Canis lupus familiaris: one gene and its partner. The protein of the gene in region 1 binds, or shares a complex with, the protein of each later gene. Links are inferred from orthologs where the notes say so. Each region holds a gene or a part of one and is shown in the gene's direction. Other genes may lie near its edges.

Region 1 (4,504 bases):
ACCCCGGGTCAGCTGGGTCCAGCATCTCCTTTAAAGACCAGCGGGAGAGCAGTTTAATGCAGCCGGTGATTGGCCCTGGCACGCAGTCCCGTTTGCAGACGTCATCCCCCAGAATGTCAGCTCTGACCACTGGGGTAGCCCACGGCCTGCCCTCCCGCCTGCACCCACGACGTTGGTCCGAACGTTTATGTACCAGGGTCCGTGCTGTTTATTCGTCTAAGAACATTTCCAACCGGTGCTGTGCTTGTTTATTCACTCTGGGCACGGGCCCAGCAACCTCTGACCAATATGGCCCCTATACCCGAAACGACGCAGGAAACGGGGACAGCGAGCCAGGGAACACGTGGCAGCAGCACCACGCGAGCAGCACCACATTTCAGCAAAACAATTGCTGCTGGGGGAATCCCTGGGTGGCTCAGTGGTTTGGTGCCTGCCTTTGGCCCAGGGCGCGATCCTGGAGTCCCAGGATCGAGTCCCCCGCCGGGCTCCCTGCATGGAGCCTGCTTCTCCCTCTGCCTGTGTCCCTGCCTCTCTCTCTCTCTCTCTGATAAATGAATAGATAAATTAAAAAAAAAAATTGCTGCCGGGCCCCTGTAATGCCTGCCGGGCCCCTGTGACTCCGGCCGCCCTCCGCAGCACCCACCTGCCGCCCTTCCTCCTTGAGGCACCTGCAGTGCTGCTGGCCACAGGAGGCCAAAGGGCGCTGACATCAAGTCTAGAAGTTGATCACGGTCAGTATACTAGGTCTAGGGTACAGGAAAGTGAATAGTATAAACAATTTCTATTAAAATTGGCCACATTCTAGCGCTTCGAGAAGTCAGTTCTCAGGAAAAGCCAGTTTTCCTTGAGCACCCGGTGCTCCCTCCTGCCGCAGCGGACACGGGCGCTCCCGGGCTGGGGGCGCTCTGGCGCCGTCTCCTCACAGGCCGCTGACTCCCCTGGGGGCGCGCACCCCCCCCACCCCCCGCCCCGGCCCGGCCCAGTGCTGAACCTCGAGCACCGAAGCACAGCCGCGCACAAAGGGCTCAGACAAGTGTTTATTGCACGAATGCATTTGAAGACACAGGATTATTCAGAGTTTCTGCCGTTAGATAAATGGAACAGCGCCCAAAGATGACAAACGTTGCTCCAACGAATCTCACAAAACCACCCTTGCGTCTGTCCAGCCCGGCACCACCGAGTCGGGGCTCCGCAGCGGACCGCCGTGCAGCGTCCGGCCTGCACCTTGCTCCACGTCTCCCAGCCCAGCCCCCAGCCCGGTGACCTTCATGTCACTGCCTGGGCCGGGCGTCCGAGGACACCTGCCCGGGCGGGACGCGGGGAGGGCGGCGCTGGGACCACCGCTCCGCCCGGCCGCCAAGTGGGAGCAGCGAGACCCCAACTCCGGCCACGGAGGCCCCGCCCCCTGCGAGGCCCCGCCCCTTGACTCCGCCCCCGCGACCCCAGGCCCCGCCCCGCCAGCCGGCACCCTCCTCATGCACAGCCCGGGTCCCAGGCCCCGCCCCCGCCGCTCAGGCCCCGCCCCACGCAAAGCCCCGCCCCCGCCGCTCAGGCCCCGCCCCGCGAGCCCGCGCCCGCCCACGCAAAGCCCCGCCCATCGCCCAGGCCCCGCCCCCTGCCCCGACGCAGCAGCGAGGCCGCGCCCTGTCAGGCCCCGCCCCCGCCGGTAGCCCGCCGCTCCTCGCGGTCCGTCTTCTGGAGGTCAGTCACTGCCGCGGTCCGTGCCCGGGGTCCGCTCTAAACGGCGCCGACCTTGGCCGGGTCGTCTGTGGACGCGCGCCAGGCACTGCTGTGGCCATGCTGCCCAGGACAGACTTGAAGCGCTCTTGGAGCGACACCGGGGGGCGGGGTGCCGGAGAAACGAGTGCCGGGAGAGGGATCGGGGTGCGGCGGGGGCTGGGGGCGCGCGCCGGGCTGGGGGACGGGGTGGGCGGGGCCTCGCGGCTGTCGGGGCGCCGCGGTGACGTCAGGGCGTCCAAGAGCGCCCCTGCGCGTGCGCACCTGCCGCCGGCCTGCCTCCCGGGGCACGCTGGGAGTTCCGGGTCCGGGGCGCGCGCATGCGTGGTCTGCGCCTCGGGGGTTCCCCTCTGCCTTCTCGAGGTGCGGCCTGACCCCTGTGTGTGGTCGCCCGGCAGGCGGCGCGAGGGCTGGCTCAGCCCACATTTCCCCCAAGTTGGGTAACTCGCCGCCTACTCCCCAAGGACCCCCCACCCCCAGGGAGGACCCTCCCGGGTCGCCGCGCGGGATGCTGGGCCTTGGGCGTGGCCGCCCCTCCCCCCCCCCAGCATCCCGGCCCCGTCCGGTCCCGCGGGAGCCCTGCCGAGAGCTGGGGGCGAGTCGGTGCGGAGGACGGGAGCGCAAGTGGGACGGCACCGAGGAGCCCGGGCGGCCCCTCTAGGACGGTGTCCCGGGGGCCTGCTGAGAAGCCTCCGGCCTGAAAATCCAGGTGCCAGCCTGCAGAAATGGTTGAGCGACGTGGATGCACGGTGTGGTCGTTAAAGTTAGGCCTGCTGGGGCGCCCGGGGCGCGGGGGTGGAGGCCTACGGCTCAGGGCACCATCCCATCCCCATCCCGGAGTCCTGCCCGGGGATCCCTGCTCCTGCTCTCTTTCTCAGACACACAGAATGTCAAAAAAAAAAAAAAAAAAAAAAAAAAGGTTAGACTGTTACATGTGGATTAGTGTGCCTGTATATTTGTGTATACATTGTATACATTTCTCTTCTTTGGTGGAAAATACAGCGGCTCCTGCTGCATCAGTGTCCTCCTGCTGCCGTCACAGGATTTCTTCTCTTACAGTTCTCTAGATCAGAAGTGGGACGTGGGTGCTAGAGGGACAAGTCAAAGCATCCAAAGGCCTGATTCCCTCCAGGTTTTCCAGGTCATCATCTGCTTCTTGGCCTTTTCCAGCTTAGCCACGCCACAAGGACATCTGCCTCCATGCTCACAGCTCTCGGATTTTCACCTTTTTGCCTCCATTCTATAAGGACCCTCGTGGCTGCTTTGGGCATACCCAAGTAATCCAAATGATCCCTCCATCTCAAAACCCTTAACTTAGCTACCTCTGGAAAGACCCTTTTGCCATGTAAAGTAGGGATTTGGATGTAATCATCTTTGATCATTATTCTGCCTACCATTACTAGTAGCTTATTATTATTATTATTATTATTTTAGATTTATTTATTTATTTATGATAGAGAGATAGAGGCAGAGACACAGGAGGAGGGAGAAGCAGGCTCCATGCCAGGAGCCCGATGTGGGACTCGATCCTGGGACTCCAGGACCACGCCCTGGGCCAAAGGCAGGTGCTAAACCGCTGAGCCACCCAGGGATCCCCTATTATTATTTTTCTTAAATGTGTATTGTGCATACAGAGGAGCAGGAGCTCATACATAGATGTCAGAGCCTTTGTGTTTCTGGAAGGCGGGCAAGCTAGGGCCTTTTATTTTCTTATTTCTGTCTTCTGGTTTTCCTATAAAGGGTACATAGTGCTTATGTGATAAAAATCATGTTTTATAGCAAAGGAAACCATCATCAACAAAGGTTGAGAGGGCAACCTATGGAATGGGAGAGGTATTTGCAAATGACATACCTGATGAGGGGTTAACGTCTGAAATATATGAAGAGCTTAACACTAAAAAACAAAACAAAACAAAAAACCCCAAACAAATAATCTAATTAAAAATGGGTCAAGGGGGTGCCTGGGTGGTTCAGTCAAGTGCCAAACTCTCGGTTTTGGCTCAGGTCATGATCTAGGTCACAGGATTGAGCCCCAGCTCAGGCCTGCATTCTTTGTGAACTCTCCTTGACATTCTCTCTGCCCAACACCCAACCCCTGTGCTCGCTTGCTCTCTCTAATATAAATATTTAAAAAAAATGAGTGAGGATCTGTACAGACGTTCCTCCAAACAAGACACCTAGATGGCCAGCAGACACATGGAGAGATGCTTCTCACTCACCGTCAGGGAAATGCAAATCAAAACCACAGTGTGTTCCCACCTCTCACCTGTCAGAATGGCAAAACTCAACATGACAAGTATTGGTGAGGATGTGGAGCAAAGGGAATGCTTATGCGGTGTTGGTGGGGGTGAAAATTGGTGCAGCCACTGTGGAAGGTAGTGCACCATACAGTCTAGTAATCCTATTTTTTTTGTTTTTGTTTTTGTTTTTTTGAGGATTTTATTTGACAGAGAGTGAGAGCAGGGTGAGCAGCAGAGGGAGGGGGAGGAGCGGGCTCTCCAGGGAGCAGGGAGCTGCTGCTGGCCTCCATCCCAGGACCCTAACATCATGACCTGAGCCAGAGGCAGGTGCTTCACTGACTGAGCCACCCAGGTGCCCCTTCTGGGTATTTGCCTGAAGAAAACAAAGCCACGTGAAAGCTGGCTGGAGCTGCGCTGCAGCGGAGGCCCCCTCCACCCGAGGCACCTTCCACCCGCGCCCACTGCTTCGCTCCGTTCTCCAGCAGCCTCAGGCTTCAGTGGCTTCTGCACAAACCGGGCACCGTCCC
Region 2 (3,619 bases), on another chromosome or scaffold:
GATGCAAAATCAGAATTTGGACTGAGACAATCTAAATCCAGAGCACGGCGGGTATTTTGATCATCCTGACTCCAGAGTAATTGCAATTGTCACCCAGCAAAAACAAGTCTTTCTAGGAGGTGTGAAATTGCATAAAATTTCTGGCCATGACCGACTCCATCTTGAAGCTCCATTTTCCCTTTTAATGAACTTTTGAATTGGGCCAGGCCCGGTGATTGTTTTACAAGCAGTTTCTTATAAAGTCAACGGGACACCTGGCATCCTGGATCATAAAACTGTCAGTGTGGGCTTTCGGGTGACCGAGTAATTAATCAACGCATATCACGAAGAGTGAGGTTTGATAACACCAACCGGTTAGTCGATCACAGTGTAAATAAGCACGGCTCAATCTGCTAGTGCCAATCACGGTGTTTTCTCCTTCTCCTCTCTTATTCAGGTCAGGTGTTGGCCCCCCCTCGCCCTCTTCCTCCTGGGACCCCTGCTCTTCCTGTGAGGCAGGGCGCTTCTCTGAGTACTCTGGAATCTGTGCTCCAGAAAATGCAATTCTGAGATCCCCCAATAAGGACTTTTGTTCTTTTTCAATTTTGCCTCATTTTCTCGGTCTACAGAGGGAATTCTGCTGCTAAGAAATATGACGTTCTCTATTTTTCCTCCAAAAGGGATTTTTTTGGGGGGACACCTCGGTGGCTCAGCAGCTGAGCATCTGCCTTTGGCTCAGAGCATGATACTGGAGTCCTGGGATCGAGTCCCACGTCGGGCTCCCGGTGCATGGAGCCTGCTTCTCCCTCTGCCTGTGTCTCTGCCTCTCTCTCTCTCTCTCTCTCTTTCTGTGTTTCTCATAAATAAATAAATAAAATCTTAAAAAAAAAAAACAAAAGGGATTTTTTTTTCTTAAGTAGTTTCCACACCCACCATGGGGCTCAGACTTGAGACCCTGAGATTGAGAGTCCCACGCTCTACCGACTGAGCCAGCTAGACATCCGTTGGGGGTTTGGTTTGGCTTTCATCTCTCTCCTCAACTCTGACCTTACAGGAGTGGTTGCTGTGGCCGAGAACTGCCGCACGTTCACCTGCCACCCCAGGAGTGCTCAAGTGGCCAGCACCGGGCGAGCCACAGGTCTTCTCCTCCCCGCCAGGGCACAGCCCCAGGTCTGCACAGGCTTCCAGGTGGGGGTAGCTAAACGCCTCACTCCCTTCTCCCCGGAAGAGGTGCTGTTGGAATGCTAGCCATGCCAGGGCTCCTGGGGAGAAAGAGGACCTCCTTTCTCCCCCGCTGCTCTGGTGGTCACATGTTTATGAGTCCTTTGCTAACCACCAAGCACTATTTGGTGAAAATCGCCCCCTGAGATTACAAGGGCCTTGCTGGGGTTCAGGCATCAGTACCCTAGTGGCTTTCTCCACTGCTCCTTGGAACCAGCAAACAGATGAGGTTCATATAAAGTTCCTGTGGCCAAGCCTCACCCTTCCCAGCAGTCCTGAAAAGAGTGGTGTGGATGGTTCCCTACAACGTCCCCTCCTCACAATGTCCTTGTTTCCCTCTACACTGAAACCAGGACGCTCCTCCCACCCATCTTTTCTTGGAAGCCAAGCCCCTTTGTAATCTGTATAAGATTCCCTCTCCAGGGATCAAGGGATTGCAGAGACTGGCCTTCTGCTCTCTCCTAGAGACCACGCTAGAGACCCAGGTCAGTGGCCAAAGACGTGGTCTCAGGGGCTCTTTCTGCTTCTGCATTGGATTGGAGGGACCAGGGTTGGGGAGGATAGAGCCTGAGAGAGCCTGGGGTAGGCAAATATAGGGTTGAGCACGCAGGCGGCAGGGAACCAAGGGCACTGGGGGAGCCAAGCATCTGTCTTGGGGCTACAGTGGCATCCCTTTGTGATGCCCGTGTCAGGCACGGGGCTGTTTCCCTTGTGGCGAAGGACAACAGGCCTCTGTCAGTCATGATCCTGGACACGTGATTGCATTTCAGGGATGCAATGTAGCTCATGGTTTATTCAAAAGGATTTTCTAATGAGCTGCTTGAGCACTGGGTATAAGTGTATTTATCTTTCAAACATATTTTAAATTTAAAAATCTCTAGTATTCAGACACAGGATTGTGGGATTTTAGTTCACTCTGGAGGTCACCCCCAGAGGGGAGGACCGCCTCTCCTTAGCTAGCGGGAGTTCAACGCCCTGGAGAGTGGTGCGCGTGGCTGTGTCCTTGCCGGGAGAATTGCACAGGAGGAGGTGTCTCTCCAGCTGCCCCAGGGGGAGGCTGAGAGTGGGGCAGCCACAGGCGGGAGCTGGGGTTCTCCCCCTGAGGCGGCGCTTGTCCTTCTCTCCCCTTCCCAGCTAGGCTCTTCCAGAAGGCGAGCCCGCCATGGCTCAGGAGAAGTTCTTGGTGCTGTTGCCACTAGTGGTCCTGGCGCTGCTGGGGCTGGCCTGCGTGCAGCCTTCTCTGGCCAGGGAGTCGAAGGCCATGAAGTTCCAACGGCAGCACATGGACTCGCACCCCGCCGCCATCAGCGCCAGCTACTGCAACCTGATGATGAAGCGCCGCAACATGACGGATGGGTGGTGCAAGCCCGTGAACACCTTCGTGCACGAGCCTCTGGCAGACGTCCAGGCCGTCTGCTCCCAGAAGGATGTGCTCTGCAAGAACGGGCAGTCCAACTGTCACCAGAGCCGCTCCCAGATGAACATCACCGACTGCCGCCTGAAGAACGGCTCCAAGTTCCCCAAGTGCGTGTACACGACCACGCAGAAGGAGCAGTACATCGTCGTGGCCTGTGAGGGGAACCCCCACGTGCCAGTGCACTTTGATGCGTGTCTGTAGCTCTCGGCCTGAGGCCAGAGAAGCGGGCGCCCTGTCGCAGGTGGCACCTGCTACCCCTCCCCTGCCTTCCTGCTCTGGGGAATCCCTGCAGCCGGGGCTCCTCCGGCTTGCTCCCAAACCCGGGCTGCCCTGCCCAGGGCTGCTCCGCTTGGTCGGGGGGCGGGGGCCCCATGTTAGCCACCTCACCGCTTCTTTCAATAAAGCACAGCTGTGCTCACCTGGGTTTCCCACGCTGTCGCCCTCCCGGTACTGCCTGTGTGATCGCTCCTGCAGGAGCTGCAAACCTGGCTGTAGCTTTGGGAGGCATCATCAGCTCATCCGAAGCCTTCTCTTCTGACGCTTGGCTTTGGTCACCCGAGATCATCCCTTGTAAACCGCCAGGCTGCTAAGCGAAGGCTACTGGGGATAAAAGGGGGCTATAGCCTGGGAGTGGGTGCTGGGTGAGCGGCCCGGCAGCCGAATGCAGAGACAAGAACCTCTGCCCGGAAGGAGGGTAGCCTCAGGAAGACCCTGCGCCGCCCCTGGGTGCGGGGAGGGATGTGGGAAACCAAGATCCTAAATTGTCATTTTCCTTTTTTGGGGTGAGCTATTACTAATCAGAAGAATGGCCATGTCTTAGCTGGAAAGTCAAAACCTTCAATTTAGGAGCCAAAGGGGACTGTAGAGATAATTCCGTTGAAGGAGAAAAAGTAGATTTTGGCTTTTGTATCAACTCCATTCGAAAGGGTCCGCCTAGAATGCTGTAGGAAAAATTCTTTTTTTTTTTTTAAATAAAGATTTTATTTATTTGTTTATTCCTGA

The links.
Region 2: the proteins of RNH1 (region 1) and ribonuclease pancreatic precursor are in contact, whole or in part, in a crystal structure (PDB 3TSR), measured with the Mus musculus proteins. The link is inferred for Canis lupus familiaris from reciprocal best matches to the Homo sapiens genes RNH1 and RNASE1. Residues at the interface, in NP_001165571.1 of Mus musculus: Cys7, Asp32, Thr60, Asn89, Asp117, Glu145, Tyr146, Asn174, Glu202, Trp257, Trp259, Glu283, Ser285, Trp314, Lys316, Glu340, Glu397, Ser401, Asn402, Gln426, Val428, Tyr430, Asp431, Ile432, Tyr433, Trp434, Thr435, Asn436, Glu437, Arg443; in NP_035401.2 of Mus musculus: Arg26, Glu27, Lys32, Gln36, Pro48, Thr49, Gln53, Lys56, Arg57, Met60, Asn62, Gly63, Ser64, Cys65, Lys66, Pro67, Val68, Asn92, Lys94, Asn96, Leu111, Lys112, Gly113, Asn114, Ser115, Lys116, Asp121, Ala134, Glu136, Val143.

The regions. Positions count from the first base shown.
Region 1 is NC_049239.1:25,963,043-25,967,546, reverse strand, and holds the start of RNH1 (ribonuclease inhibitor), read left to right. Parts: upstream 1-1,593; 5' UTR 1,594-1,701; intron 1,702-4,504. UniProt on the Homo sapiens protein: Ribonuclease inhibitor which inhibits RNASE1, RNASE2 and angiogenin (ANG). May play a role in redox homeostasis. Required to inhibit the cytotoxic tRNA ribonuclease activity of ANG in the cytoplasm in absence of stress.
Region 2 is NC_049236.1:18,162,840-18,166,458, reverse strand, and holds ribonuclease pancreatic precursor, read left to right. Parts: upstream 1-1,599; 5' UTR 1,600-1,685; intron 1,686-2,334; 5' UTR 2,335-2,362; coding exon 2,363-2,818; 3' UTR 2,819-3,035; downstream 3,036-3,619. UniProt on the Homo sapiens protein: Endonuclease that catalyzes the cleavage of RNA on the 3' side of pyrimidine nucleotides. Acts on single-stranded and double-stranded RNA.